4 linked regions of the Saccharomyces cerevisiae S288C genome follow. The protein of the gene in region 4 purifies or fractionates together with the protein of the main gene of each other region. This does not show direct contact. Each region holds a gene or a part of one and is shown on either strand. Other genes may lie near its edges.

Evidence for each region.
Region 1: the proteins of UTP4 (region 4) and UTP21 purify together in Saccharomyces cerevisiae (affinity purification with mass spectrometry; 5 studies listed by BioGRID). This does not show direct contact.
Region 2: the proteins of UTP4 (region 4) and NAN1 purify together in Saccharomyces cerevisiae (affinity purification with mass spectrometry; 7 studies listed by BioGRID). This does not show direct contact.
Region 3: the proteins of UTP4 (region 4) and PWP2 purify together in Saccharomyces cerevisiae (affinity purification with mass spectrometry; 7 studies listed by BioGRID). This does not show direct contact.

The regions. Positions count from the first base shown.
Region 1 is NC_001144.5:932,207-940,596, forward strand, and holds UTP21 (rRNA-processing protein UTP21), read right to left. Parts: upstream 5,028-8,390; coding exon 2,208-5,027; downstream 1-2,207. Other genes in the region: YLR406C-A (uncharacterized protein), read right to left, coding at 1-149; GAG1 (Gag1p), read left to right, coding at 761-1,447; BLS1 (Bls1p), read right to left, coding at 1,679-2,047; inositol polyphosphate kinase VIP1, read left to right, coding at 5,335-8,390. UniProt on the Saccharomyces cerevisiae protein: Involved in nucleolar processing of pre-18S ribosomal RNA and ribosome assembly.
Region 2 is NC_001148.4:306,750-315,241, forward strand, and holds NAN1 (Nan1p), read left to right. Parts: upstream 1-3,460; coding exon 3,461-6,151; downstream 6,152-8,492. Other genes in the region: TBF1 (Tbf1p), read right to left, coding at 1-1,472; HHO1 (histone H1), read right to left, coding at 2,079-2,855; karyopherin KAP120, read left to right, coding at 6,639-8,492. UniProt on the Saccharomyces cerevisiae protein: Involved in nucleolar processing of pre-18S ribosomal RNA. Required for optimal pre-ribosomal RNA transcription by RNA polymerase I together with a subset of U3 proteins required for transcription (t-UTPs).
Region 3 is NC_001135.5:217,725-226,032, reverse strand, and holds PWP2 (snoRNA-binding rRNA-processing protein PWP2), read left to right. Parts: upstream 1-2,804; coding exon 2,805-5,576; downstream 5,577-8,308. Other genes in the region: TVS1 (Tvs1p), read right to left, coding at 1-470; TAH1 (Tah1p), read right to left, coding at 1,299-1,634; YIH1 (Yih1p), read left to right, coding at 1,803-2,579; CTR86 (Ctr86p), read left to right, coding at 5,966-7,657; threonine synthase THR4, read right to left, coding at 7,792-8,308. UniProt on the Saccharomyces cerevisiae protein: Required for bud-site selection and cell separation. Also involved in nucleolar processing of pre-18S ribosomal RNA.
Region 4 is NC_001136.10:1,112,088-1,120,006, reverse strand, and holds UTP4 (small subunit rRNA maturation protein UTP4), read left to right. Parts: upstream 1-3,243; coding exon 3,244-5,574; downstream 5,575-7,919. Other genes in the region: condensin subunit YCG1, read right to left, coding at 1-2,881; PEP7 (phosphatidylinositol-3-phosphate binding protein), read left to right, coding at 5,980-7,527; TIM11 (F1F0 ATP synthase subunit e), read left to right, coding at 7,714-7,919. UniProt on the Saccharomyces cerevisiae protein: Involved in nucleolar processing of pre-18S ribosomal RNA. Required for optimal pre-ribosomal RNA transcription by RNA polymerase I together with a subset of U3 proteins required for transcription (t-UTPs).

The sequences.
Region 1 (8,390 bases), on a different chromosome or scaffold from region 4:
CATTTAAACGGCACTCCTAAAAAATTGTATGAGGTGATTTTTTTTGTGTACAGATGTACGGATGTACGGATGTACGGATGTATACTATGTAATAATGCACGGATGTAGAGAAACAGAAACGAGGATAATAAAATCGGTTTTTGTATCATCTGGCGGCGATATGGCGCAAGGCTTTAAGTAAACGTCCTATATGGTACTAACGGGGTTTTATTCCGAATCAAAAGAAAAAGAGATACGAAGTCTCTCTTAGTAAAAAAGTCTTTATGGAAGATTATCGATAATTCGATAATTCTACCGACAACAGTGGTTTTGTTTGGCTCAGCAAACGTGCAGCACCATGATCTTGGTAGATTTCTTCTTTACCCTCACCTTCCCCACACCATGTTTGCTTGCTACCCGTGTGTAATGCTATCAGCGCGCGTTTCTTTTTTTTTCTTGCTAACATTTTTCAACTTTAAAATGAAACGATGCATGAGTGATAGAGGCATTGAACTTTAGTAAACAATAGAAATAACCATCGGAGTTATTATTTTTTTCTGCTTATTCTTTGGTCGCAAAAAAGTGTGTTGTATAATTCTTTGGAATATTTATAAAAACAGGGAATACTCTAACAACAAACGCTAGTGCTTAGCTACTCTTCCGCTGGTACTTCAATATAGCTTGTCACATATTTTTGTCCATTAAGGTCGTTAAAACCCGAATAATTTTGTACGATCAGTTTAGTAAAAGAAATACAGTATTCAAAAGCTAACGGTTTATTATGACTGTTTCTACTTCCAAGACCCCAAAAAAGAATATTAAGTATACCTTAACACATACTTTACAAAAATGGAAAGAAACTTTAAAGAAAATTACCCACGAAACGTTGAGTAGTATCGATGACTCTAGTGGAAGCGATGAAAAAATAGAGGCTCTGTTTACTGTGTCTCAGCCTGCCGTCGTAGCCTCCAAGGGTATAGACAGAGATAGTGGTGCTTCTATGTCGCAGGTAGGAGGAGGTGTCAATAGTACATTGGAGATGAAGCTCACAGATGAGAGTGAGGAATCTAGCTCTGCTAATAACACGACCACAACCGCCTCGCATACTCTATCGAATTCGAAGAAGTCTACGCAGAACTTTGAAAACTATAACGTAGTGGAGGAACGCATAAAATTAGCACAGAAAAGTAAGGCGCCGTTTTGTAACGCTGAGAAAATCTGGAAACGAAGAAGACAACTCTGGACACAACCCACTGAGCAAAGTGAAAGCGCCAATAATGACGGAGTTACTCGAAGGGAGATTTTCCAAGCTATACCTCAGGAATATTATGCTCGAGTTTACAAGAAACTGGTGGTAGATGATAAGCCATTGAGAGAGCCTCTAAATCTGGAAGATGCTTTACAAGTCATAAATGCAGGCTGGACGGAAACGAGAAAGTGGGCTAATGCTGCCAAGGGCATGCCATGACTGAGTGTCGACGTCCTTTTTGTTTTGCCTTATAGCATCTTTTCCTTTCTTCAAATTTGCATTACACAACTTTAACTCAGTTAAAGAACTTCGTCATTTACTTATTCTTCTTTTTTTTCTTACCCTTCTTTCTCAAATCTTATTTCTGTATAAAATACGTATTGATTCATTCCATTAATAATAACATATAATAATAGTACTAATTTAAAAACATTGAATATATTTATCGTTTTATTTCGAGTTGCGATTCTTTTCTATCAGTTGGTACGTCATTTCAAGGATTCGGAGATCCCTATCCACAAGCTCTGCTTCCTTTTGTAATGCTTCGGTATGCCCCATATACGGAGTGTACTTTTCCAACATATAGTTAATAGGAGAAACACACTTATTTTTAAATGAGTCGTCATGAAGTCGCAATAACTTCTTCAACTGTACATTTAAAATATATGATTGATTATTTTCAATTTCTTGCAAAGTCTTCGAGGCTTCTGTTCTATGCGGAGAGTTGATTATTTTGTCGAGTAATCGGTCAAGTTCTTCAGACCTGTTTGGCATTTTTACGATTATCCAGTTCACACACATTGAGAATGTAAGGAACATTTATTTATTGTCGATCATTTATTAAATGTGGGAGGGACCCTTTAAGAACACTGCAACAAACCCAATAAATAATTCTTGGTTACCCTCTCAAAAAACATCATAGGAAAAAGAAAAATATACAATCTGCCTTTGTTACTAATATACTTGTTCTATATAATGCTCACGCGGTGGTCACAAAAGCTGCCACTCCCATGCAAAACTTCACAAGATCATCTAATCTGTCTTCCTTCTTATGTACATCCTCCCAATTTTGAAGAGCAGAGGCAATATCTTGATTCTTGTTGTTAGCATGAATAACATCACCGTGTGCCTTAAACAGTAAGCTCATAAACGTTTCATAAAGTTCGAAATTTTTATTGCTCTTCAACCCCTGTGTTAACGCGTCGATAAACCACACAATTTCATCAAATGGCTCAAAGGAATTCAATGATCTTATCTCCAAATCCACTGCAGCAGGTGAGAAATTTATTAGAGTGGCCAGCAATGATGAATAGTCCTTGGATTGTGAGCCCTCTCGTAATTGCTTTGTGAAATGTGATTCAAACCCTAATCTTCCTGTAACTTTGAATTTATTCATTTGCTCTTCTGCATCTAACTTCTTTTGTGCTTCTTGATCTCTGCGATGGATTTCTTCTGGTGTTTCATGTGCTATGCCTTCTCTGACAGAGGCTTCATCCCCAACCTTTTCCCCAGATAGTTGCAAGAAAAATGGAAGCTTTTCTGATTTCTTTGGAGCTTCCTTTGGCTTAGAACGTTTTCTGATAACATCTAAATGAAGCAATGTGTTCATTTTACTTCTAGGTCCTATTGATAAAGTCAACAGCTCCTTATCAATCTGTTCCAATGATGTATAAGTGTTGAAATCAATATCATTTAGGTCTTCTCCTCCATTGCTTTCTAAAGCCCCTGATAACATCGAGTCGTTCCCTCGAACAGATGTGCTAGGTAACGCCATTCTTGCAAATTCAGACTCATCGATGGTTCTTGTCGATACTGTCTTAAATTGTGCTCTGTTCGTCCAGATGCATATACCATTACCAGTAACATGGGTAGTGGCAAGCAAGTCACCATTCGGAGAAAACTTTACATTCGTAGCGACATTATCTACTATGATACCATCGATACATCCTCCGGTTGGAAGATCCCACGTTCTAATGGTGGAATCTAGAGAAGCGGAAACAATCCAACGGCCCTCAGGTGAGAAATCAAATGCAGTTATTCTATTACTATGACCCCATAATTGACGAACAACTCTTTGAGTAACTGCGTCAATAACAACAATTGATAAGTCGTCTAAAGCCAATGCAAATAGATCGGAAGAACGATGATAAACCATTGCGGTAATAGGTGCATCCAATTTCAATTTTCCCAACAAGGTTGACTTGTTAAAGTCATAAAAACCAACAATACCGTCTAGTCCACAAGAAACCATTTTACGATTCATACCATCTAAGGATATACCGGTGACTGCTCTTTTGTGCAATTTGTATTTTTTACGGAGTATACCACTTTGCATATTATAGATGGTGATAGAGCCGTTAGAAGAACCGATGAATCCAAAATTACCACATTGCGACATGGCCACAGATTTAACAAATCCATCATCAGTAGTATCAAAAGTCCACCTGCCAACTCTTTTATTTCGCATATCCCAGGTTCTTGCAAACTTTTCATCTTTATGTGCAGTGATAATGTTTTCCCATTCACCTATTCTGGCATTTTCAATTGCAAGAGCCACTATTTCAGGAAATTTAGACTTAATTGTACTACCACCTACCCTGCCGCCATCTTGTTTCTTGTGTAACCTTTGTGACATTTCTTGCGACTGTGCATCTTTACGCAGAGAAAAGCTCCATAATGATCTATCTTTGGATGCTGATAGCATGAAGTGTGATTGCGAATCAGCAAACGCAATGTATGAAGGTGGTTGAGAATGACCCCCTCTGGAACGTAGATATCTTGGCGGTTGAACAACTACATCACCGCTTCCTTGAGATAATGACGGATCGAAAACGTACTCCTTCAGGGAATTGTCACCACCTGATGTAACAATAATGGGTTGACCATTTAAAAAAGTAGCCTGAGTGACACCACCGTACGATTCTCTATGAATGTTCTTCAAAACGTGTATTCTTGAACGGCGATCTAAATCATAAAATATTAGATCACCACTGCTCGTTCCCACACTCAAATGAGAAGAACCGTCGGTTCTGAAACTCAATGAGGAGATTCTTGATTGCGGAATCTTAATTGTGCGGATCCTTTTACCTTTTCTCATATTAAACATAATAACCTCACCGGTCACGGTACCTAGAGCAATAATATCCAGGACTGGAGCGGGTTCAGCAGTTGTGATTTGGTCTGGAAATTCGTTTGATGTGAATACAAGCTTCCCGGTTCTGACGTTAAAAAGTAAAACGTTAGATTTGGTAACGACAGTTAATTTATTCAAATAAGTTGCCAAATGTTGTAAAGACACAATTTCGCCACCTTGAATTTCAGTAACGGTAAGTTTAGTGTAGAATTCTGATGGATATTTATCTTGCGGATCGGACTTCTTGTATATAAAGATGGAATTGTCGTCGGTGGAAGCGCAAAGATAATCTCCGAATATGCACAAATGTTCGACATTTGCATCAGTTTCTAGCTCAAGCAAATGTTCCTCAATACCCCTCTTGTAAATACCAACCTTGTTTTCATATGCTGCGTAGACGTAGTGAAAGTGTGCTGATAATGCTACAATTGAGGATGGTGTTTCTTTCTCGGAAACAAAAAGTAAATGTAAGGTATTCGCATCATATATCTGAAATGTTTTACCAACACACGTTACAATGTAAAAGGTAGATCCCAATGTACCAGTAGCAAAAGGAACACCATTGCTAACATTACCAATAATCCGGAAAGGGGAAAATATCTTAGAATTTTTCCCTCTACTTCTTACGTCTTCTTCGACTTTTCTTTTTTTCAAGTCGATAGACATAATGTACTATTCCTAACTCGCTATAGCCTTTTCAGTGTCTTATTCCTTGCTGCTGTTTCGCTGTATATTTATTGTGCTTAGGACTTATTAAATTTCATTAGCAATCTCATCGCGAAATTTTTCTCAAAATTTTTCAGTTAAAAAAAAAAAAGCACGTGCTCAAAAATGTTTTTAGAAAATCATTTATTTAAGATAGGAAAAATGCAATTAATCATTGAATCAATATGTTCACCACTTAAATTACCCACTGAGCATTTCATACAAATTCAAAAGCATCTCGTAGCATATTAATATATTGCAGAAGGTCATGAGTGGGATAAAGAAGGAACCGATTGAATCTGATGAGGTTCCTCAACAAGAGACAAAAAATAACTTACCTAGTGCACCTTCTGAGATGTCACCCCTTTTCCTAAACAAAAACACACAGAAGGCTATGCAATCTATTGCACCAATATTGGAGGGTTTCAGTCCTAAGACGTCAGCTAGCGAAAATATGTCTTTGAAATTGCCACCTCCCGGTATTCAAGATGATCACAGTGAAGAGAATCTCACCGTGCATGATACTCTGCAAAGAACCATAAGCACTGCACTAGGAAACGGAAACAACACCAATACAGTTACAACTTCCGGTTTAAAAAAGGCAGACAGTGAATCAAAGTCAGAAGCTGATCCTGAGGGGCTCAGCAATTCTAACATAGTCAATGATGCAGATAACATAAATTCCATCTCCAAGACCGGATCGCCCCATTTACCTCAAGGAACAATGGACGCTGAGCAGACTAACATGGGAACTAACTCTGTACCTACTTCATCAGCTTCTTCACGCAAATCCTCGACTAGTCATCCCAAACCTAGGCTACCCAAGGTAGGGAAGATTGGGGTATGTGCAATGGATGCAAAAGTCCTTTCAAAGCCAATGAGACACATTTTGAATCGTTTAATTGAACATGGTGAATTTGAAACTGTCATTTTTGGAGATAAGGTGATTCTAGATGAAAGAATAGAGAATTGGCCAACTTGCGACTTTTTGATATCTTTCTTTTCTTCAGGATTTCCCCTAGATAAAGCAATTAAATACGTCAAGTTACGCAAGCCTTTCATTATCAATGATTTAATAATGCAAAAGATTTTGTGGGACAGGAGATTATGTCTACAAGTATTAGAAGCCTACAACGTTCCAACACCTCCTAGACTGGAAATCAGTAGAGATGGTGGTCCCCGTGCCAACGAAGAATTAAGGGCAAAATTACGTGAGCATGGCGTAGAAGTTAAACCCGTTGAAGAACCGGAATGGAAAATGGTTGATGATGATACTTTAGAAGTTGATGGGAAAACCATGACTAAGCCCTTTGTTGAAAAGCCCGTTGATGGTGAAGACCACAACATTTATATATACTATCATTCTAAGAACGGAGGAGGCGGTCGTCGTCTATTCCGTAAAGTTGGTAACAAGTCTTCTGAGTTTGATCCTACTTTGGTTCATCCTCGTACGGAGGGGTCTTACATTTATGAGCAGTTTATGGATACCGATAATTTCGAAGATGTGAAGGCTTATACGATTGGTGAGAACTTTTGTCACGCTGAAACTAGGAAATCACCTGTGGTTGATGGTATAGTTAGAAGAAATACTCATGGTAAAGAAGTTAGATATATTACTGAGTTATCAGACGAAGAGAAAACCATTGCTGGGAAAGTTTCCAAAGCTTTTTCACAAATGATCTGTGGTTTCGATTTGCTTCGCGTTTCTGGTAAAAGTTACGTCATTGATGTTAACGGATTTTCTTTTGTAAAGGATAACAAAGCTTACTATGATTCATGCGCCAATATATTGAGAAGTACCTTCATTGAAGCCAAAAAGAAGATGGATATGGAAAAGAAGAATCTGCCCATTATTCGTGAAGAAAAGGAACAAAAGTGGGTATTCAAAGGACTGGCTATCATTATCCGTCACGCGGACAGAACACCAAAACAGAAATTCAAACATTCATTCACTTCGCCTATTTTTATATCGTTACTAAAAGGTCACAAAGAAGAAGTTGTCATTCGGAATGTAAATGATTTAAAGATTGTTCTTCAGGCCTTAAGAATTGCGTTAGATGAAAAAGCAGGAAATCCAGCTAAAATTAAAGTGTTAGCAAACGCTCTAGAAAAGAAACTGAATTTTCCCGGTACGAAAATACAATTGAAACCGGTTTTAAATAAAGAGAACGAAGTGGAAAAAGTTCAGTTTATTTTGAAATGGGGTGGTGAACCCACTCATTCTGCCAAATATCAGGCTACGGAACTCGGAGAGCAAATGAGACAAGATTTTGACCTATTGAATAAGAGCATTCTACAAAACATCAAGATATTTTCATCGTCTGAGAGACGTGTTCTTCATACGGCGCAGTACTGGACCAGAGCTCTTTTTGGGGCCGATGAATTAGGTAGCGATGAAATCAGTATTAGAAAGGATCTTTTAGATGACAGTAATGCCGCCAAAGATTTAATGGATAAGGTGAAAAAGAAGTTGAAGCCACTTTTAAGAGAGGGTAAGGAAGCTCCCCCACAATTTGCCTGGCCTTCAAAGATGCCGGAGCCATATTTAGTCATAAAGCGAGTGGTTGAATTGATGAATTACCATAAAAAAATTATGGATAACAACTTTGCTAAAAAGGATGTCAACTCGATGCAAACAAGATGGTGTACTTCTGAAGATCCTAGTTTGTTTAAGGAAAGGTGGGATAAACTTTTCAAAGAATTCAATAATGCTGAAAAAGTCGATCCTTCTAAAATTTCTGAATTGTATGATACTATGAAGTATGATGCTCTTCACAACAGGCAGTTCCTAGAGAACATATTTGACCCGGGTCTTCCAAATGAAGCTATCGCCGATGAACTCGGCAGTCATTCTTTAGTTGACCGATACCCAATTAACGTTCTCGCCAAAAATAATTTTAAGATAATAGACAGTCATAGCATGAACAATTCTGGAAAGAACAGTAGTAATAGTGTTGGGTCGTTAGGATGGGTTCTGGAAAGCGGAAAAACATCTACAGCAAGAAACCCCAAATCTTCTTCTCAATTCGATGAGCCACGCTTTATGCAGTTGCGGGAGCTGTATAAGCTGGCCAAAGTATTGTTTGATTTTATCTGCCCCAAAGAATATGGTATTTCAGATGCAGAGAAACTGGATATCGGTTTGTTAACTTCGTTGCCTTTGGCAAAGCAAATACTAAATGATATAGGAGACATGAAAAATAGAGAAACTCCAGCTTGTGTTGCGTACTTCACCAAAGAGTCCCATATTTACACTCTATTGAATATCATATACGAATCTGGTATTCCAATGAGAATCGCTAGAAATGCTTTACCAGAACTAGA
Region 2 (8,492 bases), on a different chromosome or scaffold from region 4:
GCCTTGTAGATTTTCTCCAAGTTACCGGTCACTTTTATCAAATAGTCAGGCAATGGTTTGCCACTCTTCAAGTATTGTAATTTCCAATTACGGGCTTTATCTTTCAGTTGTACCTGCGTCCTGTTCTTCAAATTTTCCGTGATTTTACCACCGGGACCATATAAATCTAGAATCTTAGACCACGATGGGCCAACCTCTTTCAGGCCTTCCACTAATGCTTCTTCTTCCTCTTTGGACCAAGTTCTTTTCGCCTTTGGTTTTCTTAATCCGATACTACCATTATTGTTGCTGTTACTGCTGTTGTTATGAGAGGAATGAGGACCAGAGCTGCTGTTGCTCATCGAGGCCGCAACAGCGGCATCCACAATGGATTGTGTGATAGCGGGGTTTTTGGAAGACACATCTGTGGTAGGTGTATGTGTGCTGTAATGATTCGGACGAGCAGTTGACAAAAAAGCAGACGCACTGCTTGGCTGATTTTGGTCGTCCATGAATTCTACGGTCCTGGTCCCTGTAGAAAAGAGTACTTGAGGATCAAACTCGTTGACATCAAAGTCATATAATGGTGATTTTCCGCGACCCTTTCTGCCCCATATGATGAGACCCATATTTTTATTACAATAATCCAGCAACTCTCTGATAAATTGAGCCCATTCGTAGCTCTGGGTCAGAGAGTTAAAATCTTGGACGATCTTTAAATTTTCTCTCCGACGATCGCACCTTTCGACGAAGTCCTTCTCCGATGGAGTCAAAAGTGTAATGTCTCCAGAATCGCCGGTTCTTCTCTGCACGAGAATATCAGCCAGATTGGATGGGAAGATTAAGTCTAGTAGCTCTTGTTTCTTTTCTAAAGAAATTTCGTTCGTCTCGTCCTGAAACTCTTTCAAGCCGGCAATGTAAGCCTGTGTTTTCAGATCAAGATATAGGATAGCCTGCGATTTCAAAAACTTTCCGCTTTGTTCCAGGGAGTTGTTACCGACAGTGTTTGTATTTGGACAGAAAATATCGAGAAATATCGACTGTAGCAGCTCAAACCCGTAATTAAGGCAGTTCAGCGACGTCAATAGAAATGTTAGCAGATTCGCCTTTCTTATGGCAGTAATAATAAACGCTTCGTGGCCTCTCAATATAAGGGGGGGAGGGGAGTTGGGAAACCATAAACCAGGCGCCACGTCGTGAACAGACAGTAACGGAGATCTGGTGTGGTAAATCATTCTGATCTGCTTAAAGAGCTTGACTAACGTTTGAAAAATTTCTGTTTCGCCTGAGCTTAGGAAAGCCGTCTGGTCCGTCAAAACCGCTATAATATTGGGAGAGTTGGCATTAAGGATAAGAAACCTCAGTAGTTGAGTGGAGATATTGTCCAGCAGACATAATGAGCATATGGTCAACCTAGTTCTTGCAGGCAGGCTTTGGATGATGTCATTGAAGCGGTTTAAGCTTTCGTTATTATTGGGCACTTGCGAATCCATGACAAATGGGGAAAGAAGTGAGTAAAGAAAAACTAATGTAAAATGATTTCTGTCGCAGATGGGACAGCCACAATCTTAAATGTTGGCAAGGATATAGGAGCAAAACGCCAATATTGAGATGATTGTTTATTATAATGTTTACAAGGAAGGGCAAAGCATTGAGGAAAATTAGTCGGAATGAGGTCTCGCCGGGCTTCTACGGAAAGGGGCGAAAATTAATAGGGCACGGTGCAGAATATTAGGGCTTCAAATGTTCAGATTTTAAAGCCTTTTCTTCAAATACAATAATTAATTTTACACACTGTACCTTGCATATATAAGAGAAGAGAAATTTATAAACAGTATAGTTAGTTAGTTAAGAATGGAATTTGAATAAAATCATAAAGGAGATATTTACCGAATAAGTAACAAATAGAGAAGGGAGAGATTAAAAAATGAAAATTTACAGTACCGCCAACAAACACTTGAATAAGATTGAAAATTAGAGAGAAAAAAATTTAGAAATAATACAAAATACTAATAGTGATGGGACACAAAAATGAAGAAAGAAAATAGGTTTGATAGTATTGCTATCACCATTGACATTCTCGTTTGGATATTCACTTTTTACGTGGAGAGTTTGACCTTCTTCTTGTTTAGTTTAATAATGCCGGAGGGGCCCTTTGGTTGCACTAACTCGCCGTTTTCAACACATTTCTTGATAGCGCTATTGAACAGATAGTCAAAATTTGAGCTTGTTTTCAACTTGGAGGAGAAAGTGTCCTTGACATACTTCTTTAAAACGATACGGCTGGAGCCCTTACCGTCATTAAGTTGAGGCATGCTTTTAAGGATCATTTCCTTGTAGGTCAATGAAGAAGGCGAAGAGGCCTTCTTGGCGGTAACAGTAGGCGATTTTTTTTTCACTACTTTCTTTGGCGCTAGCTTCGTGGATGCGGCTTTCGCTTTTGATGCGGTTGCACTCACAGAAGTGGCGGCTTGCTTGGGTTTTGGACTGACCTCTTTTTCTTTCTTTACTTCTGGAGATTTCTTCTTGGCCAGTTTCACAGCACCAGCGGGTCCCTTTGGCTGTTCAAAATCGCCGGCCTCCACACCCTTCTTTATGGCATTGTTGAAGTACAAATCAAAGTTGCTTGCGGATCCGACGATCGGGTAGTTTTCCTTGATAAACTTCTTGAGTGCCGGACGACTGGATCCCTTACGTTCCTTCAAAGCCGTGAGCCCTTCAATGATCAACTCCCTGTAACTCTTGGAGGAAGCTTCCTCCTTTTTTGCCGTGGTTTTCTTGATAGCGGCCTTGGAAGTTGATTTCTCCTTGCCTTTGCTGGTTGCAGGCTTCTTGCCCTTACTTGTGGTCTTGGTAGTGGATTTCTTGGGTGCCATGTTGCTTTAGTTGTATTATAATTGCTTCCCTCGCTGCCAAGCATTATCAGGTGCCCATAAATAACAACTCCCCAAATCTATAGTTGCTCCTCCTCTTTAAATAAAGGCAGATAAACAAAAAACTTTGACCGCCCGCTTTTCCACACAAAAAACAAACAACAGCAGAAAACGCGACGCGAAAATGAAAAGCCAAAGAGAACAAACAAAAATCATCCATCAAACCTGTTATTGTGCAGAATAGCTTTTACCTAGACGCAAGTCCCTAGGAGGGGGCATTTTTGACACAGAATAGCATTTCATCAAAGCAAACAGCAACTTCTTGGAGATTTGTATTGCTTGGCATGTCAAAATCTAGCGGTCACATCAGTAGGGTAACAAAATAGCACGTCAGGGTTAAGGCGGCCTACTGCTTAGGGTACGTGGTAAGTGATGTAAAATGTGAGAAGGAGAAACTAGAAAAAAATTTTCCTTTCTTTTTCCTAGCGATGAGATGAGATGAAATTTTTCGAACAAATGATTTTTGGCACAGTTTACATATCAGTTATATTGGCTGTCGTCACAGGAACTACAAGTACAAACCAGAACCATTTTAGCTGATCACCAGAATGACGCAATCCCTAGGTATCGAACAGTATAAACTGTCAGTCGTATCTGGTGGGAAACCCGCTTTGAATAATCTCAGTTCAGTAACCGGCAATAAGAATATCGCCCGCCTATCACAAGACCAACGAAACTATATTATACCCTTTAACAATCAGATCAAGGTGTATTCTGTGGAAACTAGACAATGTGTTAAGACTCTAAAGTTTGCAAATAACTCCTTGTTATCCGGAATATTTCTGCAAGAAGAAGAGAATAATGAATCGATTGTAAAGATTCTGCTGGGTGATATAACCGTTCCGCAACAAGAAGACGCTCATCTGATTACCGTATTCACCAATAATGGTCATGTAATTGTTTTAAATTATAAGGGGAAGCTGGTCGAGTCCCCTAAGCATTTCAAAATCTCTTTGGCAGATGAAAAGCTTGCAAATGTTTTCCATAGCGAGGGCAACTATAGAATTTTGACAACGTTCAAGGACCCTAGTCAAAAGGCACATAACTCTTTGCAATCGTACAGGTTATATGCATTAACCTTTGACGATGCTAAAAAGCAATTTGAAGTGGCTCATCAGGCAGAATGGCACAACGTTATCTTGTCAAATATTTCTTCCAATGGTAAACTGCTAGCGCATATGTGCAAAGACGTCTCAACAAAAGATCACGAACACAAATCCATCTCAGTTGTTTCGCTTTTTGATGATTCTGTAAATTTAAGCTTTCCCCTCGGTTCCATCCTTTCTTCACAGACTCAATCCCTATCCTATAACACAAGGTACGTTTCTAGCATGGCCATAGACAATATGGGTCAACAACTGGCTGTTGGATTTGCCTCCGGAGTTATAAGTATCGTAAGCCTGGCCGATCTACAAATAAGACTGCTCAAATGGCATATAGACTCTGTGCTGTCACTCTCATTCTCTCACGATGGATCCTATTTGCTATCTGGTGGTTGGGAAAAAGTTATGAGTTTATGGCAATTGGAAACAAACTCTCAACAATTCCTGCCTCGTTTGAACGGTATTATAATCGACTGTCAGGTATTGGGACCTCAAGGGAACTACTACTCTTTAATCCTACAAATGACTGAAAACAATTCAAATTCTGACTACCAATTTTTACTTTTGAATGCTTCTGATTTGACCTCCAAATTGTCGATTAACGGGCCATTACCGGTGTTCAATAGCACCATAAAACACATTCAGCAACCAATCTCGGCCATGAATACCAAGAACTCCAACTCAATTACCTCTCTCAATCACTCTAAGAAGAAACAATCTAGAAAACTAATTAAATCGAGAAGACAAGATTTCACCACTAATGTAGAAATAAACCCTATTAACAAGAACTTGTATTTCCCACACATTTCTGCTGTTCAAATTTTTGACTTCTATAAAAATGAGCAAGTTAACTATCAGTATTTAACATCAGGTGTCAACAATTCTATGGGTAAAGTTAGATTTGAACTGAATTTACAAGACCCAATAATAACTGATTTGAAGTTCACCAAAGATGGGCAATGGATGATTACATACGAAATTGAGTATCCGCCAAATGACCTCTTATCTTCCAAGGACTTAACTCATATCTTGAAATTTTGGACCAAAAACGATAATGAGACAAATTGGAATTTGAAAACGAAAGTAATAAATCCACACGGGATAAGTGTCCCAATTACCAAGATATTGCCTTCACCAAGATCAGTTAATAATAGTCAAGGCTGTTTAACGGCTGACAACAACGGTGGACTGAAATTTTGGTCCTTCGACTCTCATGAGAGCAACTGGTGCTTGAAAAAAATTTCTTTACCAAACTTTAATCATTTCAGTAACTCCGTTTCTTTAGCTTGGTCTCAAGACGGGTCTCTAATATTCCATGGTTTCGATGACAAGTTGCAAATTTTAGATTTCGACACTTTTAAAAAGTTTGAATCATTGGAAAATACAAAGACGGTCAGTGAGTTCACGTTAGACTCTGAAATCCAAACCGTCAAGTTGATTAATGACACAAATTTAATAGTGGCCACCAGGACTACATTAAACGCCATCAACTTATTGCGGGGTCAAGTCATAAATAGTTTTGACTTATATCCGTTTGTTAACGGAGTGTATAAAAATGGTCACATGGATAGGCTTATTACTTGTGACGAAAGGACAGGCAACATTGCCCTGGTTATAAATCAACAACTAACTGATCTCGATGGCGTACCAACTATCAATTACAAATCCCGTATTATTATATTCGATTCTGACTTATCTACAAAATTGGGTAATTTTACGCATCATGAATACATATCTTGGATTGGTTGGAATTATGATACTGATTTCATATTTTTGGACATAGAATCAACACTAGGTGTTGTCGGAACCACTGTGAATACTCAACTATCTGATGAAGTTAATAACGAAGGAATATTGGATGGCCTGGTAAGTAACACCATCACAACTTCGGCATCCAATAGCGATATTTTTGCAGAACAATTGCATAAACTGTCGTCTAGGGGCAAAAAAAGTGACACTAGAGATAAAAATACCAATGATAACGACGAAGATGAAGAAGATATCGCTTTGGAATTTATAAATGGCGAAAAGAAAGATAAGCTAGTCAATATGAATAGTTTTACGAGCATGTTTGACAACATTCAAAACGTGCAAATGGATACATTTTTTGATCGTGTGATGAAAGTATTAACATAGCTTTAGGGTTCTTCCATTGGATATCCAAAATAGATATAAAGGTATATATATATATATATATATATATATGTTTATAAAGCAAACCGAAAGCAAAAATATCTGTATAACTTAGTTACAAGGGAAGGGAAGAGAATGCATTGGTTAATAGGAACAGACACTTCGTAAAAAGCTTCACAATCATTAATGTTAATAGAACTATCATAATATACAAAAAATCTCTTCATACGATTTTTGTTTGATGAGCATCCTCAGTCAAGATGAATAAAATAATCTCTCCAAATAAGCCGCCTCTTTTTTTTTGAATTACACTTCTATAGCGTACATTTCCATGTAAGAAGATTGAAGTTTCAAACAATTGGGTAGCTTAATATTTGTCAAACTTCTTGGTAGGTGTTGTGTTTAAGAAAAAGGAGGCACCATAAACTATTAACTTTTTAGCTTGCCTCAACTGTCAACCGAATCAAATTTTAAAAGGCGTTAAACAAAAATGGCCTCGTCTCTTAACGAGTTAAACTTGGTTCAAGTACTTGAACAAGCAAGTAACCCACAACATATTAGGTCAGATGTTCAAAAATTAGCCGAACAACAACTAAGACAATGGGAGACTCAAGCGGGATTTCATTACTTATTACAGTCAATCTACCTTAATTTATCTAATTCTTTACAAATTAGATGGTTGGCGGTAATTCAATTTAAGAACGGCGTGGATAAATACTGGAGATCCACTAGAATTAACGCTATACCTAAAGATGAAAAAGCCTCGATAAGAGGTCGTCTTTTTGAAATGATCGATGAACAGAATAATCAACTTTGTATTCAGAATGCCCAAGCTTCCGCAAGGATTGCAAGGCTAGATTTTCCCGTAGAGTGGCCAACCTTATTTGAGGATCTAGAAAACCTATTGAACGATGAGATCATCAGAAAAGATTCAGTTAAGATTTACAATATATTGATGCATATAAATCAAATCGTTAAAGTATTAGGTACTGCGAGAATAGGAAGGTGCCGACCCGCTATGCAAAGTAAAGTTCCTTTGATATTACCACTAATTGTCAGGATTTATTTACAATCATTTGAAGAATGGACGACATCCTCCAATCTCAACTACGAGGATCTTTCCAGTTTACAAGTTTCTTACCTAGCTTTGAAAGTGCTCAGAAGGATAATTTGTGAAGGATACGACCGCCCTCAAACCGATCAGTCTGTTTGCGATTTTATTAAACTATCCGTTTCACACTTTGAGATGTTAATTTCAAACCATGAAAACTTCAAAAAGTTTGATATTTACGAAAAGTTTATCAAATGCCTAGGAAAGTTATATTTCAATTTAGTCACTGGCTCTCCGGCTAATTTCATATTACTGCCATGCTCTACGCAAATTCTAATCACTTATACTAGGCTAATTTTCGATAAGGCCCCTAAAGTATATAGAGAGAATTCTGATGTCACGGGGGACTTTTGGGAACAGACTGCTATTAGAGGGCTTTTAATTTTGAAAAGGGTCATTAATTTCATTCACAAAAAGGGGGCAATTACGTTAAAAGCAAGAAGTGATAAACTAACCATAGATGCTTCTATCAACAAAATCAACACAGAATTTCTGAATGAGAATTTGATAACAAGGTTGGTTGACACTTTAATGGAATGGTACTTGAGGTTAAGACCAACTGAATTAGAAAATTGGTTTATGGATCCAGAAGAATGGATAAACGAACAAATGGCCACGAGTTACGAATATCAAATCAGACCATGTGCAGAGAACGTTTTTCAAGACTTAATGAATACTTTCTCTGAGCTGTTGGTTCCCTACCTGTTAAAGAAAATTGAAAATGATGCTTCAAAGCTATCAAACTCATTAGACGATTTTTTAAGGAAAGACGCAATTTATGCAAGTTTCCAATTAAGTGCATCCGCTGTTAGTGAAATGGTAGATTTTGACAGGTTACTAATTCAGGTTTTTTTACCAGAAGCTACAAATACAAACATATCAGGCGACGAATTAAGGATTATCAGAAGAAGAGTTGCTTTAATTATAAACGAATGGTCTACTGTGAAGTGTTCGGAAGAATCTAAAAGTTTATGTTACAAGTTATTTACAAACTTCCTGACAGATGAAGACGACAAAGTTGTTTTGTTAACCACAGTCCAGACTGTCAGAACCATGGTTGATGACTGGAACTTCAACAAGGATACTTTTCAGCCATTTTTAACTGAAAATGTTCATTTATTGTTGAGGAAAATTTTACCATCTGTGTCGTTAACCGAGACAAGGCTATATGTTTTAAACACCTTGAGCGATATCATAATTCAAACAAAACCTTTAATTAGCAGGGATCTATTA
Region 3 (8,308 bases), on a different chromosome or scaffold from region 4:
GGGAAAGTATTTTTGAACACGGACAATGCCATTACGGACGAAATACAAATGCATAGATTAACAAACAGCAGGGGTAAGTACCACCTAGAACGGGCGGCGCTTAGCGCCAGGGACACAGGGTAGAGCACAAATGCAACCAAGAGCAGCGTAATAATGTGGTAGCGAAGGGCAGACCTATTCCCAGCCTGTGTAGTAAAGTAGGTTGTGGTGTTGTAGTTTTCCCAGTACAATCTCTCCGCAGGGGTAAGCGAGGGCGATTGCAGTATAGGAAGGCCATGCAAATGTTTTGGTTCATGTGGCACGGGGACGATTGAAGCCGTGGATGAGACATCTATGGATTGAGACGTTGTCGTATCGATATTCATGTCCATATCCATGTCCATATCCATGTCCATGTCCATGTCATCATGGGCCGTGACAAGCGTCGCCGCGCAGCCGAATAAACTTAAAATTGAAACAAAACGCACCATTACTCTCACTATTTTGTTTTTGGTTGGGGTATTAAGAGTACAATGCAAAACAAATACTAGCGAATTATACAATAGACAAGACCCTTGCAAGTATTCTTATAGAGCGCAGTGTCTACCGCCGCTGCCACTCCCCTTATAACCAAAACGGTCCGCTAAGAGCCGGTAAAAAAAATCCGGAACAAAAAAACCGCGAAGAGCTCCGTGGAAAAGAAAACTGTGACCGGTGGCAAAAATATCGGTCTTCGGCGGCTAATTTGCCGTGCTTCGTCGTAACTGATTTTTCTATATCATGGATCGTGCTTCTTAGTTATTCTCGTGTCGTGAAACCTAGATATAAGTTTTCATCTATATAGTGAACATTGCAATATGCAAGATATGTTGCCTTAGTTCCGTTAGTTGCCAATACATGAACTGTATGCCCGCAAAGATGTGCGGGAAATTCTTTACAAGGTAGATATGTATTTAGAAAAGAGAAAAACCAAGGGTGTATAGTTTCGTACTATGAAAATCGAAGTTTTAAGCGGCAAAACACTTGTGTATAGATAATTGTAGTATTATTGTGGTATTTGGTATTTGCAGTATTTTCTTGGCGCTACGATGTGCTTTTTATTTTTGTTTGTTTTATTCTCCTATAGAGTAAGGAGACCTTATATTGTTTTTCTCTTGGTAGAAAGTTGACGCGCGAAGAAAAACATAAAAAAAACTGACAAGATACTACTATTATTAACCATATACACGGAAATACCCACAGAGTATACAAACACACATATATATATATATATATATATAATTTTAAAGATAAATTAGAAGTGTTCCCTTTCTCTTTTCTCAGGACCGGTCGTATCCCTCCGGTAGTTCATCAACCTCTACAACAGGGATCTGTACTGAACCTACCGCTCCCTGTGCCAGCTCTAGACGATATTGCAATTTGGATCTGATAGCTACATGCTCTGCCGTTGAGGTGTACCGCAGTCCTTGCTGGCACATTTGAATAGCCTGTGTATATTCACCCAGTTTGATCAGCGCCATGGCTTTGTTGCTGTACCCGACCGGGTTCTGCGGTTGAGCAGTAATTAGTTGGTCATAACAGTGCACAGCCTCGCGATACAGGCCCTGTTTGAACAAAGAATTGCCCTGTTCCTTCTGCTTTTCAAATTGGCTCATGCTCTTTACCGTTGCTCTCTCTTTCGCAGTGCTGAAAAGAAAAAACCGTTCAAGAAAATTGCGTCTTGTGCAGTCATATACGCTGGGATATATATATATATAGATATATATACATATATATAGGAATATGTAACAAGAAAAAAAAAAGAGAGAGGAAAGAAAAGCTCAATGGATGACGATCACGAACAGTTGGTCGAAGAACTGGAGGCCGTCGAGGCCATCTATCCGGATCTTCTCTCCAAGAAGCAGGAAGACGGAAGCATCATCGTTGTGAAAGTGCCGCAGCATGAATACATGACACTGCAGATCTCCTTCCCGACACACTACCCCTCCGAGGAGGCTCCTAATGTCATCGAAGTTGGTGTCTGCACTTCTTTGGCTAAGCGCGATCTCTACGATACCAAGTACCTTCAGCATTTGTTCCAGGAAGTGATGGACTCTGTTTTCCACCGCGGATCTGTCTGTCTATTTGACTTCCTCACAGAACTCGACGGTGTCTTGTACGTTGAACCAGAGGAGGAGACAGAACCGGTCCAGCAGAGTGACATTCCCACAGACCCCTTCGAGGGCTGGACCGCGTCGGACCCCATTACTGATAGAGGCTCGACTTTCATGGCCTTTGCAGCACATGTTACCTCCGAGGAACAAGCGTTTGCCATGCTAGACCTACTGAAGACCGACTCCAAGATGCGTAAGGCAAACCATGTCATGAGTGCATGGCGAATCAAGCAGGATGGCTCTGCGGCAACATATCAAGATTCCGATGATGACGGTGAAACGGCCGCCGGCTCCAGAATGCTGCACCTCATCACCATCATGGATGTGTGGAACGTCATCGTTGTGGTGGCCCGTTGGTTCGGCGGTGCCCACATAGGTCCCGACCGGTTTAAACACATCAATTCTACGGCAAGAGAAGCTGTTGTCAGGGCCGGCTTCGACTCGTAATCATTATGATTATGTCAAGCACCTGTAACCTTGATCACATGCGACGGGAGTTCTTTTTGAAATTTTTTGGAAAAATTTTGCGATGAGCTGAAAGATGAAAAAAAAAAAAGTTTCGAGTATAGTTCTAGGTATGTACAATAACTAGTATAATATCAATAATAGTAATAATAGTATCGTTTTCAACAGGTAGACAGGAGAGCAGACCGCAGATTGAACCGCATCCCAATGAAATCCGATTTCAAGTTCTCTAACCTTTTAGGTACGGTCTACAGGCAAGGTAACATCACCTTTTCCGATGATGGCAAGCAACTACTCTCACCGGTGGGGAATAGGGTCAGCGTGTTTGACTTAATCAACAACAAATCGTTCACGTTTGAATACGAGCATCGCAAAAATATTGCTGCCATTGATCTGAACAAACAAGGCACATTGCTGATTTCTATTGACGAGGACGGTCGCGCCATCCTTGTCAATTTCAAAGCCCGTAACGTGCTTCACCATTTCAACTTCAAAGAAAAATGCTCCGCTGTGAAGTTCAGCCCTGATGGGAGACTCTTTGCATTAGCCTCAGGCAGGTTTTTACAGATTTGGAAGACTCCAGATGTTAATAAAGACAGACAGTTTGCTCCCTTCGTCCGCCATAGGGTGCATGCGGGACACTTTCAAGACATAACGTCTTTGACGTGGTCACAAGATTCCAGATTTATCCTTACGACTTCCAAAGACTTAAGCGCAAAAATATGGTCCGTAGATTCAGAGGAAAAGAACCTTGCGGCGACAACATTTAATGGGCACAGAGACTACGTTATGGGTGCGTTCTTCAGTCATGATCAGGAAAAAATCTACACTGTAAGCAAAGACGGTGCTGTCTTTGTCTGGGAATTTACCAAGAGGCCATCCGATGACGACGACAATGAAAGTGAAGACGACGACAAGCAAGAAGAAGTAGATATTTCGAAATACAGCTGGAGAATCACAAAGAAACATTTTTTTTACGCAAACCAAGCCAAAGTAAAGTGTGTCACCTTCCATCCAGCAACAAGGCTTTTAGCTGTCGGATTTACTAGTGGGGAATTCCGTCTTTACGATTTGCCTGATTTCACTTTGATTCAACAGCTTTCTATGGGGCAAAACCCAGTCAACACCGTTAGCGTCAACCAAACCGGCGAATGGCTGGCGTTTGGTTCCAGCAAACTGGGCCAATTACTAGTTTACGAATGGCAATCGGAATCGTATATCTTGAAGCAGCAGGGCCATTTCGATTCCACAAATAGTCTTGCATACTCTCCGGATGGTTCACGTGTAGTGACAGCATCCGAAGATGGGAAAATCAAAGTTTGGGACATTACATCAGGGTTTTGTTTGGCCACTTTTGAAGAACACACCTCTTCAGTTACTGCTGTACAGTTTGCGAAAAGGGGTCAGGTCATGTTCTCATCATCGTTAGATGGTACGGTGAGAGCGTGGGACTTAATCAGGTATCGTAATTTTAGAACATTCACTGGTACTGAAAGAATCCAATTCAATTGTTTAGCGGTGGATCCATCAGGTGAAGTGGTTTGTGCCGGGTCCCTGGACAATTTTGACATTCATGTTTGGTCCGTGCAAACTGGTCAATTATTAGATGCTTTGTCCGGACATGAAGGCCCTGTTTCGTGTCTTTCATTTAGTCAAGAGAACAGTGTCTTAGCTTCTGCATCATGGGATAAAACAATTAGAATCTGGTCCATATTTGGTAGAAGCCAACAAGTAGAACCTATAGAAGTTTATTCCGATGTTTTAGCCTTATCAATGAGACCAGATGGTAAAGAAGTTGCAGTATCTACCTTAAAGGGTCAAATATCCATTTTCAACATAGAAGATGCCAAGCAGGTGGGCAACATTGACTGTAGAAAGGATATAATATCTGGTAGGTTTAATCAAGATAGGTTCACTGCCAAAAATTCTGAACGATCCAAATTTTTTACTACAATACATTACAGTTTTGATGGTATGGCTATTGTGGCTGGTGGTAATAATAACTCCATTTGTCTATATGATGTTCCAAATGAAGTCTTGTTAAAAAGATTCATTGTGTCCAGAAACATGGCTTTGAATGGTACTCTCGAATTTTTAAACAGTAAGAAAATGACTGAAGCAGGTTCATTAGATTTGATTGACGATGCAGGCGAAAATTCAGATTTGGAGGATCGTATTGATAATTCTTTACCAGGGTCTCAAAGAGGTGGCGACCTGTCCACAAGAAAAATGAGACCAGAGGTTAGAGTTACTTCGGTGCAATTCTCCCCAACGGCGAATGCATTTGCCGCTGCTTCAACGGAAGGTTTATTGATATATTCCACCAATGACACGATATTATTTGATCCCTTTGATCTGGATGTGGACGTCACCCCCCATTCTACTGTAGAGGCGCTACGAGAAAAGCAGTTTTTAAATGCATTAGTAATGGCGTTCAGGTTAAATGAAGAATATTTGATCAATAAAGTCTATGAAGCCATACCTATTAAGGAAATCCCCTTGGTTGCAAGTAATATTCCTGCAATATATTTACCGAGGATTCTGAAGTTCATCGGTGATTTTGCCATTGAATCCCAACACATTGAGTTTAACCTAATTTGGATCAAAGCTCTATTATCTGCGAGCGGTGGTTACATAAATGAACACAAATATCTCTTCTCGACGGCTATGAGGTCGATACAAAGATTTATTGTTAGAGTGGCTAAGGAAGTAGTCAATACCACTACTGATAACAAATACACCTATAGATTTTTGGTATCAACTGATGGGTCCATGGAAGATGGCGCGGCTGATGATGACGAGGTTCTATTAAAAGATGACGCAGATGAAGATAACGAAGAGAACGAAGAGAACGATGTAGTCATGGAATCTGACGACGAGGAAGGATGGATTGGTTTCAATGGGAAGGATAACAAATTACCCTTGTCTAATGAAAATGATTCCAGTGATGAAGAAGAAAATGAGAAAGAGCTTCCTTGAAAAATATTCACTGTCCTCTATTTATGCACATTCACATCATGTATTCCCCAAGTATAGAACTATATAAAGCATTACATTTGTATTTAATATCAACAAAAAAAAATATCATCGCCAATATCGATATACATCATGATGAGAGCGCCTAATATAAACTGAGGCTACCATTACGGGAGTCGTCCTTTGACTGACGAGGCTATTTTCCTTATATATAAGGCATCATCGCTTCAGTAAAAAAAAAAATAGGAAGGGAAAAAATGAAGAATTGATGGGATGAGGAAAAAATTTGACACAAATTTATCGACTACCGTTTCATACTATCATCGGGAGAACAATTACACTAAGCCTTATAAAATTATTGATTCATCAAAAAAGAAGATAACTAAATAACAATGCCTATGAACAATTTTCTAGATGAATTCAATTTATTTGATTCAATCATTACCATGATGAAGAACGACCCATGTTGCGTCGAGGATTATGAGCCAATCGTCGAAAACCTGAACCGTATATTTCAAAGGACGTTTAATGATGAAGAACATAGGAAATCAATGGCTAACTCCCAGCTTTTTTGGGAACGATTAAGAGACACCTTGGAAGCAATGCTGTTGCCAGCGTCGTTAAATGAGAATAGCTCAATACCGTATACAAGAACAGTGAGGGGCCTTATCTTAATGATGAGAAACCTTGCCGCTGAAAACCAGGAAATACCCCAAAAGCTTTTACTACAAAACCTCGTAATTCGTGGTTTTCTGCATGCAACTAGTGAGTATGTCGTTGACACTCCGCTAATCAAACATCTATACATCGCATGTTTAACGTGCCTTTTCAATATACAGCAGAACTACTCTACAGTGGATATGACTACTTTTCCAGCTCTTTTACAATTTCTTCAATACCCTTATGGGATCAAATTGGAAGACGGTGAAGAAGAAGAGCATTTCTGGCTACCATATTTATTTCTTTTCAAGACGTATCTCAACAATGATGAATTTTCCAACGAATTTTTCAGGGATAATGATACACCCCAGAAAGACTATTATTGTGTTAGGGATAGAATATTTTTCGATATAGTGACAGCCAAATTCATCCAGGATCAAGAGAATTCCTTTTTAATTGAGAAGGGCAGAAACTATCTGGATGATTCAAAATTGGAAATAACTTCTATTGACCTATCTGTCTTAGAATGTATTAGCAAAAGTCTTACAACTGCTTCTTTTGGTAAATACCTCAATGGGTTAGAAGAAAGACAGCCAGGAAAATTCACCACTTTGTTGCAGATATTGCAATTGGTTGTAACGAGTAAAGAAGATTGGAATACCTATGAGTTGACTGCAATTATGTCATGGTGCTACCCCATTCTGCAACGTCTTGCATGCAAGGATATTCCTGCCTTTTTCAATAAAAGTTGTAACGATTATGCTCCTTCAGTTGCCATCCAATTACACTCCACTTTACTTTCTTGCCTGGACATAATTTCTGACTTGTGCAAATTCAATCATGTTAGAAAATTCTTAATTTCGTATGACTCTGTGAAAATATTGGTATCTCTCTTGGATACTTTCCAAAAGAATTTGTTGAGGATTAATTTTTTGAAAGGAAACGGTGATACGGTGAATGAAATTAAAATCACAGATCATGAAGGTAACAAAATCGAGGACCGGTTATTAATTTTCAACCGTGTTAATACCAACGAATCCTTTATTAGGGCTGATAATTTTCCCCATTGTAAATTAGTAATAATCGAAATATTGGCATCGTTAGTGTATGCACATCCTGAAATCCAAGATCAAATAAGAGAATTAGGTGGTCTTGCATTAATTCTTTCCAATTGTGTCATCGATGATAATGATCCGTTTATCAAGGAAAGATCTATTGTTTGCTTGAAGTTTTTGTTAAAGAATAATGCCAAGAATCAGGAATATGTCAAAAAAATGGAAGCTCAAGACGTTGTTCAAGACGATGCATTGAGCAAAGCTGGGTTTGAAATATCAGTTGAAAAGGGCGGGAAAGTTAGATTAGTATCTAAAGAAGAAGACCCTGGGAACGAGAATTCTGAGATTATTAGCATAGATGAAGATTAATTTTATGGTTCCTTACTCTCGCAATCATGATTCACTTTGATTAACATTAAGGATAATCGTACTTCATACTCTCTATTAATTATAGAATTCTATATGTTATATAAGATAAAATATATTCATTAAAAAGGAAGATCTTATAATTTCATTTTAGCAAGTTCTTCTTCAATAGCGTTTTTGACCAATTCAACGTCAGCTCTTTCGATGAATTTTAATTTCTTCTTTAATGTGGATAGTTTCTTCAATTCCTCAGGCAAAACATCCTTTTCAAATGAATAATTGGAAAATCCAGACAATGCATTGTTTACAGCATCGGCAAATTTAGCTGGGTGAGCGGTAGATAGAGAAATGTATTGGATGGACTTGTCATTATCTTTTGCAATCAATCTTTCTGTGGCGCAAACACCGACAGCTGTGTGAGGATCTAAGATGTAATGTTTTGGATTTACAGATGATTCGTAGATCTTCTTGATTGTTTCAGATGTTTCTTCATTGGAAACTCTTTCTGATGTAAAGTCCTTTGATGCGCCTTCAATGATGGATTTGTCAACTTGGAACTTACCGTTGGTCTTCAATTCCTGGAACCAATTGTTGACGATTTCACCGGCTTTCAAATCATCACCATTAGCTAGGTATTCACGAGCTAGGTACCAT
Region 4 (7,919 bases):
CAGTTGTTTTAGTCAATTCTGTGTTATTTCCATCAGTTATATCAGCAGCGTGTTCTATGGTGTCATTTGAAGATTTATTGAATGAATTCCCCAAAATAGACGAGTATTGGTCATTCGCAGTGTTGTTCTCATCTTTTGTCTGAGTTTCTGACCTTTCATTGATCTCTTCAATCAGCGAATTCAAATTATTCCTTAGCTTGTCCAGAGCATTTTTGCTAACATTGTCTAAATTATCATTTTCTGCAATATCGTCAGAATACTCAAGAAGTTCTTTCAAAGTAGAATAATCTTGTTCAGAAGAAAGAAATATAGCGTTTATATTAGTGATGATCATCTTCTTTATTTCTTTCTTCTCAATTTGAGCGTATATTTTGAGCACATCGATCAAGAATGTAAGCTGCACTGTATCTTTTTTTGTTGAACCTGTCTGGTTAACTAAGTTACGTGGATCAGTCCAAAATAGCAACTGTTGAAATATTATGTTAGGCTTTAGCATAGCTTCACGGTCTACCTCAGGTATTACAGAGCTCTGTAAATCGTCCCAAAGAACACATAGTCTTAAGAGTATGTCCGCAGCCGTCCTAGACATACGTTGTTGATGAGCAGGATGTGAAAAACAATAGACTGGAATGCAGAAGGCAAATGCCTGTACCAGCGCTTCGTTTGAGGAATTTATCGGCGAAAAATATGACAAAACCAACGTTTCAAACAAATCATCATCAGTGAACACGTCTGCCAAAAATAGTTTGCATAAACCCTCCGCTGCTATCACCTGACATTCCGGTAAACCGTTATTCTTTAAAACCTTGTAAAATATTTTGTGCAACGAGATTGAGTCAACTTTGCCTTCTCCGTCTACCACAGTGTTCCCATGTACGGAAAAAATATCTACAATGACTTGTAACGCAATATACTTTAATGATGCATTACCTTTCGAAACGCACATACCTAAGATGTACATGTTATCAATAGCCAACTTCACATCCAAGAGACAACATAAACCAAGGTTCTTGACACCAAGCTCCCTAATATTTGGCGCGGTATTTCTAACCGCTGGTGTGATCAAAGTGTCCATCAACGACGCAATTAAAATGTTTTCTGTTAACGGTGTGTTAACTAGTTCTAGCATATATGATGACCTTGTAAGACAGAGAACAATTGTTGCTGAGGACGCTTCCTTTTCGGGTGGGAGATTATTTATTATGTCACTCTCAGATACGTTGCCGTTTCCCTGCACTAAGTTTTCTACAGCAGAATGGAAGGATGAAATATTGTCGTCTTCTTCATCCTCGTTAACTTCGTCATTATGTGTGCCGTTTTCGTCCTCTTCATCGACGGAAGTCTCATTTCTGCGATTAATCTTCTTGCTTTTTATTTTCTCTTCTTGTTCTTGTTTTTCAATATCGTCGTCTCTAATATCATTAATGATTTCTATTGCCATTGTTACAAAATCTTTTTCATTTATGGACAGACTTTTCATTACACGAATACCAATTTTAATAAGAGGTTCGGAGAGTGTAGTTAAGGCCAGCATATTTCGTACCACTGTAAGCATCGATCTCCTTCCAACCTCATCGCTATAATCATACCTTTCGGCGGCAATCGATAGTTGCTCAATAATAAACTCTAAAGTGTTATAATCAAAATGCGACTGAGAGTCATTAGAAATGTCGTTGTGATGATATCTGAGAAGAATATAATGGTTTAAATGCTCGGATAATTTTGAGGCTTCTGGAAAGTTTTCTTCCAGCATTTCTGTTATATTATTATCCAAACAGTACAAATAAATAGCCCGAAAGAGGAAGGCAATTTCTACGGTAAAGTCTTTCCAAATACTTTCAGGAAATTTGATTTTAGATAATATATCTGGCCTTGATTGAAAAAGTGCTTCTATAGCCTTAACACACACTGAGGATCTTGAGACATCCAATTTTTCTAGTAATTCTATCAAATCGCCATCCAGAGCATTTAACCAATCATGAGCAATGAGTCTCTTACACGCATTTCTCACTGATAATTCCCTATCTTCTAAACCCCACTCAATCAATTGATCAAAAATATGCGGCTCAATATCATCGAAACACTTTCTTCCCATTGATTTCAAAATTCTCGAATACACGAGCCTTCTATTAACGATGTTTACATCTCTAGCCCTCTCCAAGATATACGGTCTAGTATTATTATCATTGATCAAATTCAGCATTGCAGCCCTCCGTACTTCAGCTGACGGATCGTTCTGGATAGAAGCAACTAGAGTTCTCGTAGCTTCAAAATTTTCTTCATTATCAGAAAGCTCAGTTAAATGTTCAGTTTGCTCTTCATCCTGAAATTTAGTTAAACAAAACACAGCCTGTATCCTAACCGTTGGTTCTCTATCATAAATCCTCTTATTTAAAGACAATATTAATAAATTGAAAAGTGATTCATCGATTTCCCCTATATTATCCATTATAACGGCTAATAACTGTAAAACTCTAAATCTGACGTTCTTGTCAGGGCTTTCCACACCACGCAAAACATGTCTTATGAACTGATCGACGAACCTTGAGAATATCCCTTCTTCATCATTCGTGAGCTTATAGTTTTGTTTTTTGGCCAATATCAACTCCCTTTCTAAAGAAGCTATAAATGCAGCTACTAACTTTACTATCCTGTCTCCGATAATCTCATTCTTTTTCAGAGGAAGGATCTTAGTAACTAATTTATCGAACCAAAAGTTAAAAGCATCTTCATAGCCTTGCTCAACAGCCTTTGACTGAATTTTCTTCAAAACTGCTATATGCTTCCTGTGTCCTGCATAAGAACCCTGTGCCTTTTGAAATACTTCAGCAACTGAGTTAAAGATTTTCGTATTAATGTCAATACCATCAGGATCTTGCATGATGGGCGCGGCCTGTTAACTTCTTTGTCTTATCCAAGGCTGTAGGCATTACTGAAGTGTTTTTGTTTGATCTTCAAAGAGCTAAAAAGGTAAACAAACACGAAGGCTCTACCCTTTCATATGCGGTGCACGGATTTTAAAAGTCGCAATAACTCAAGAATACGATAGATGCAATAAATCAGAGGTAAAGTGCTTTAGGCTAATACTATGAGCAATTCAGTATAACCTGCATTATCTCCTTGTTTTCCTTTGTATCCCCCATGATTTTTTTTTCTTGTTATTCCTCTTGATACCATATTAGGCAGGATTTTTTTCAAAAAACCAAATGAAAAATTTTCAGACTGACAAGAAAAAAGCTACGAATGAGCTCATCGCTACTTTCAGTTTTAAAAGAAAAGTCAAGAAGCCTGAAAATACGAAACAAACCGGTGAAGATGACCAGTCAGGAAAGGATGATAGTGCATAGATGCAGATTTGTGGATTTCACTCCTGCCACAATCACATCTCTAGCATTTTCACATAAATCAAATATAAATAAGTTAACTCCGTCCGATTTGAGATTAGCTATTGGTAGATCTAATGGTAACATAGAAATCTGGAATCCTAGAAACAATTGGTTTCAGGAAATGGTTATCGAAGGTGGCAAAGACAGATCAATTGAAGGCCTTTGCTGGAGCAACGTTAACGGCGAGTCTCTAAGGCTATTTTCTATTGGCGGCTCGACTGTGGTAACAGAATGGGATTTAGCAACAGGTTTACCATTAAGAAACTATGATTGCAATTCAGGTGTGATATGGTCTATTTCCATCAACGATTCACAAGACAAGCTGTCTGTGGGTTGCGATAATGGGACGGTGGTCCTCATAGATATCTCTGGCGGGCCTGGTGTCTTGGAACACGATACTATTTTGATGAGACAAGAAGCCAGAGTATTGACTTTGGCTTGGAAAAAGGATGACTTCGTGATTGGTGGTTGTTCTGATGGTAGAATAAGGATTTGGTCTGCACAAAAAAATGACGAAAACATGGGTCGTCTATTACACACTATGAAGGTCGACAAGGCCAAAAAAGAATCAACTCTAGTTTGGTCAGTTATATATTTACCAAGAACTGATCAGATTGCCTCTGGTGATTCTACAGGCTCCATTAAATTCTGGGATTTCCAGTTTGCCACGCTAAACCAGTCATTTAAGGCGCACGATGCAGACGTACTGTGTCTAACTACCGATACTGATAATAATTATGTTTTTAGTGCTGGTGTGGACAGAAAAATCTTTCAATTTTCTCAAAACACTAACAAATCTCAAAAGAACAACAGATGGGTAAATTCTTCTAATAGGTTGCTTCATGGAAACGACATTAGAGCAATATGTGCATACCAATCTAAAGGTGCAGATTTTCTAGTTTCAGGAGGTGTTGAAAAAACACTAGTCATCAACTCACTTACTTCTTTTTCTAATGGAAACTACAGGAAGATGCCAACTGTCGAACCTTATTCAAAGAATGTTTTAGTTAACAAAGAGCAACGCCTTGTTGTTTCATGGAGCGAATCTACTGTTAAGATATGGACAATGGGAACCGATTCTAGTACAGAACAGAATTATAAGCTAGTTTGCAAGTTAACTTTAAAAGATGACCAGAATATCTCAACTTGTTCTTTATCACCTGATGGACAAGTTTTAGTCGTAGGGAGGCCCTCTACCACTAAAGTTTTTCATTTACAGCCCGTAGGTAATAAATTGAAAGTGACTAAACTAGATAATGACCTATTATTGAGAACTTCCACAAAATTAGTCAAGTTCATCGATAATTCCAAAATTGTCATATGCTCTTGCGAAGATGATGTATTTATTGTGGATCTAGAATCTGAAGAAGATGAAAAACCGCAAGAAGTTGAACTTTTGGAGGTTACTTCAACTAAGAGCAGTATCAAAGTTCCCTATATTAACAGGATCAACCATTTGGAAGTAGACCAGAACATTGCAGTAATTTCTCGTGGCTGTGGAGTCGTAGACATATTAGACTTAAAAGCAAGGATTTCTAAACCACTTGCTCGTTTGAATAATTTCATCACCGCTGTTCATATCAATACTTCTAGAAAATCTGTAGTAGTAATTACTGCAGACAATAAGATTTATGAATTCAATATGAATTTGAATTCGGAAGCCGAGAATGAAGATAGCGAAAGCGTATTAACTCAATGGTCAAAAAACAATACGGATAACTTACCAAAAGAATGGAAGACATTAAAAGAGAACTGTGTAGGGATATTTTCAGACATAGAAAATAGTAGCAGATTATGGTTTTGGGGGGCTACTTGGATATCAAGAATAGACTTTGATGTTGACTTCCCTATAAATAAGAGAAGAAAACAGAAAAAACGTACACACGAAGGGCTAACTATCACAGATGAAAGTAATTTCATGAACGACGAGGAAGATGACGAAGATGACGATATTGATATGGAAATCAGCGAAAACTTGAATGTATTATTAAACCAAGGAAACAAAATAAAGTCCACAGATGTACAAAGAAACGAAGAAAGCTCCGGTCACTTCTTCTTTACTGATAAATATAAACCTTTACTGTTTGTTGACTTAATTTCTAGTAATGAATTGGCAATAATTGAAAGAAATCCATTAACTTTTCACTCCAAACAAAAGGCGTTTATTCAACCAAAGTTAGTGTTTTGATTAATTTAAGTCAACATACCGAAGAATAGAGAGATGCTATTAAAAGGCTATCATACTCTAAGGGCATTTTTCAGTTACAAAAAACTCTAATGGCGTTAGTACTTTATAGAAACTCGCTAATGTAAAATAGCCAAGCACATACGCAGACATATATATGTAGTAATCACGTATGCAGACATTAAATGTGAGCCATTTATTGGTATAAATGTATTCCTGAATTACAAAAGTACTGGCGATGGAATCACTCTGGCTATCACTGTTATTTCCAGGCAGGGTAATACTTTGGGAAAACAATAGAATAATGAAAACATATGATCAGTAGCTAAATTGACCGACCTAAAGAGCAAAGCCGGATCTCATGGTTTTTAAAGGGATATCACCGAATTTCCTGGCGACTTATCTATTATGGATCTTGAAAATGTTTCATGTCCCATTTGTCTAAGGAAGTTTGATAACTTACAAGCACTAAATGCACATTTAGATGTTGAGCATGGGTTTAACGATAATGAAGATTCACTCGGTTCCAATGACAGTCGTTTAGTCAATGGTAAACAAAAAAAGGCCAGATCTGTTGATAGCAGTGCGCAAAAGTTGAAAAGAAGCCATTGGGAAAAATTCAAAAAAGGGAAGAGCTGCTGTCACACATGTGGAAGGACTTTGAATAACAATATTGGCGCCATTAATTGTAGGAAATGTGGTAAACTGTATTGCAGAAGGCATCTTCCTAATATGATTAAACTTAATCTTTCCGCACAGTATGACCCCAGAAACGGGAAATGGTACAATTGCTGCCATGATTGTTTCGTCACAAAACCTGGCTATAACGATTATGGCGAAGTAATAGATTTAACACCAGAATTCTTTAAGGTACGAAATATAAAAAGAGAGGACAAAAACTTAAGGCTATTACAATTAGAAAATCGGTTTGTCCGTCTAGTTGATGGTCTGATTACACTCTATAACACATATTCTAGATCCATTATTCATAATTTGAAGATGAATAGTGAAATGTCCAAGTTAGAACGTACAGTTACTCCATGGAGAGATGATAGAAGTGTACTCTTTTGTAACATATGTTCCGAACCATTTGGGCTATTACTAAGGAAGCATCACTGCAGATTATGTGGTATGGTTGTTTGTGATGATGCAAACAGGAACTGCTCAAACGAAATAAGCATAGGTTATTTAATGTCTGCAGCGTCAGATCTGCCATTCGAATACAATATACAGAAGGATGATTTACTTCATATTCCTATATCCATAAGATTGTGCTCGCACTGTATCGATATGCTATTTATTGGCAGGAAATTTAACAAGGACGTTAGAATGCCGCTAAGTGGAATATTTGCTAAATATGATAGCATGCAAAATATATCCAAAGTAATTGATAGTCTCCTGCCCATTTTTGAAGACTCATTGAATAGCCTGAAGGTGGAGACTGCCAAGGATTCTGAAAATACACTTGATCCAAAGAATCTGAATGATCTCGCTCGATTAAGACATAAATTACTCAATTCTTTTAACTTGTATAATACACTAACAAGACAGCTCTTAAGTGTAGAACCTCAAAGTCATCTAGAGAGACAACTTCAAAATTCGATCAAGATAGCTTCCGCTGCATACATAAACGAAAAAATCCTACCGTTGAAGTCGCTTCCGGCAATTTTGAACCCAGAGGGCCATAAAACGAATGAAGATGGGCAAAAAGCTGAACCAGAGGTAAAGAAATTATCGCAACTAATGATCGAAAACTTGACCATAAAAGAAGTGAAAGAGCTGAGAGAAGAATTGATGGTCCTAAAGGAACAAAGCTACCTTATTGAGTCCACAATTCAGGACTATAAGAAGCAGCGTAGATTGGAGGAGATCGTCACACTTAATAAGAACTTAGAAGAATTGCACTCAAGAATACATACCGTTCAATCGAAGCTGGGTGACCATGGGTTTAATTAAGACATATCTTTATTATTCGATCATTCGCGGAATCTCCACGCTAATTGGTCCGCGGAGCCAATCAGATCTATTTAAGGGTATAAATTTTTCTTTAGTTTTTTTGACTTTTCACACAGAAATTTTAGATAAAAGGAAGTATTATATCGGAACATAACGTATATAGGAACTAGCTGAGTGAGTTAAAGGATGTCGACAGTTAATGTTTTGAGATACTCTGCGTTGGGTTTGGGGCTATTTTTTGGTTTTAGAAATGATATGATTTTGAAGTGTAATGCTAAGAAGAAAGAGGAGCAGGCACAGTACGAGGAGAAATTGAAGCTGGTAGAGGAGGCAAAGAAGGAATACGCCAAGCTACACCCTGTAGTAACTCCTAAAGATGTGCCTGCGAACGC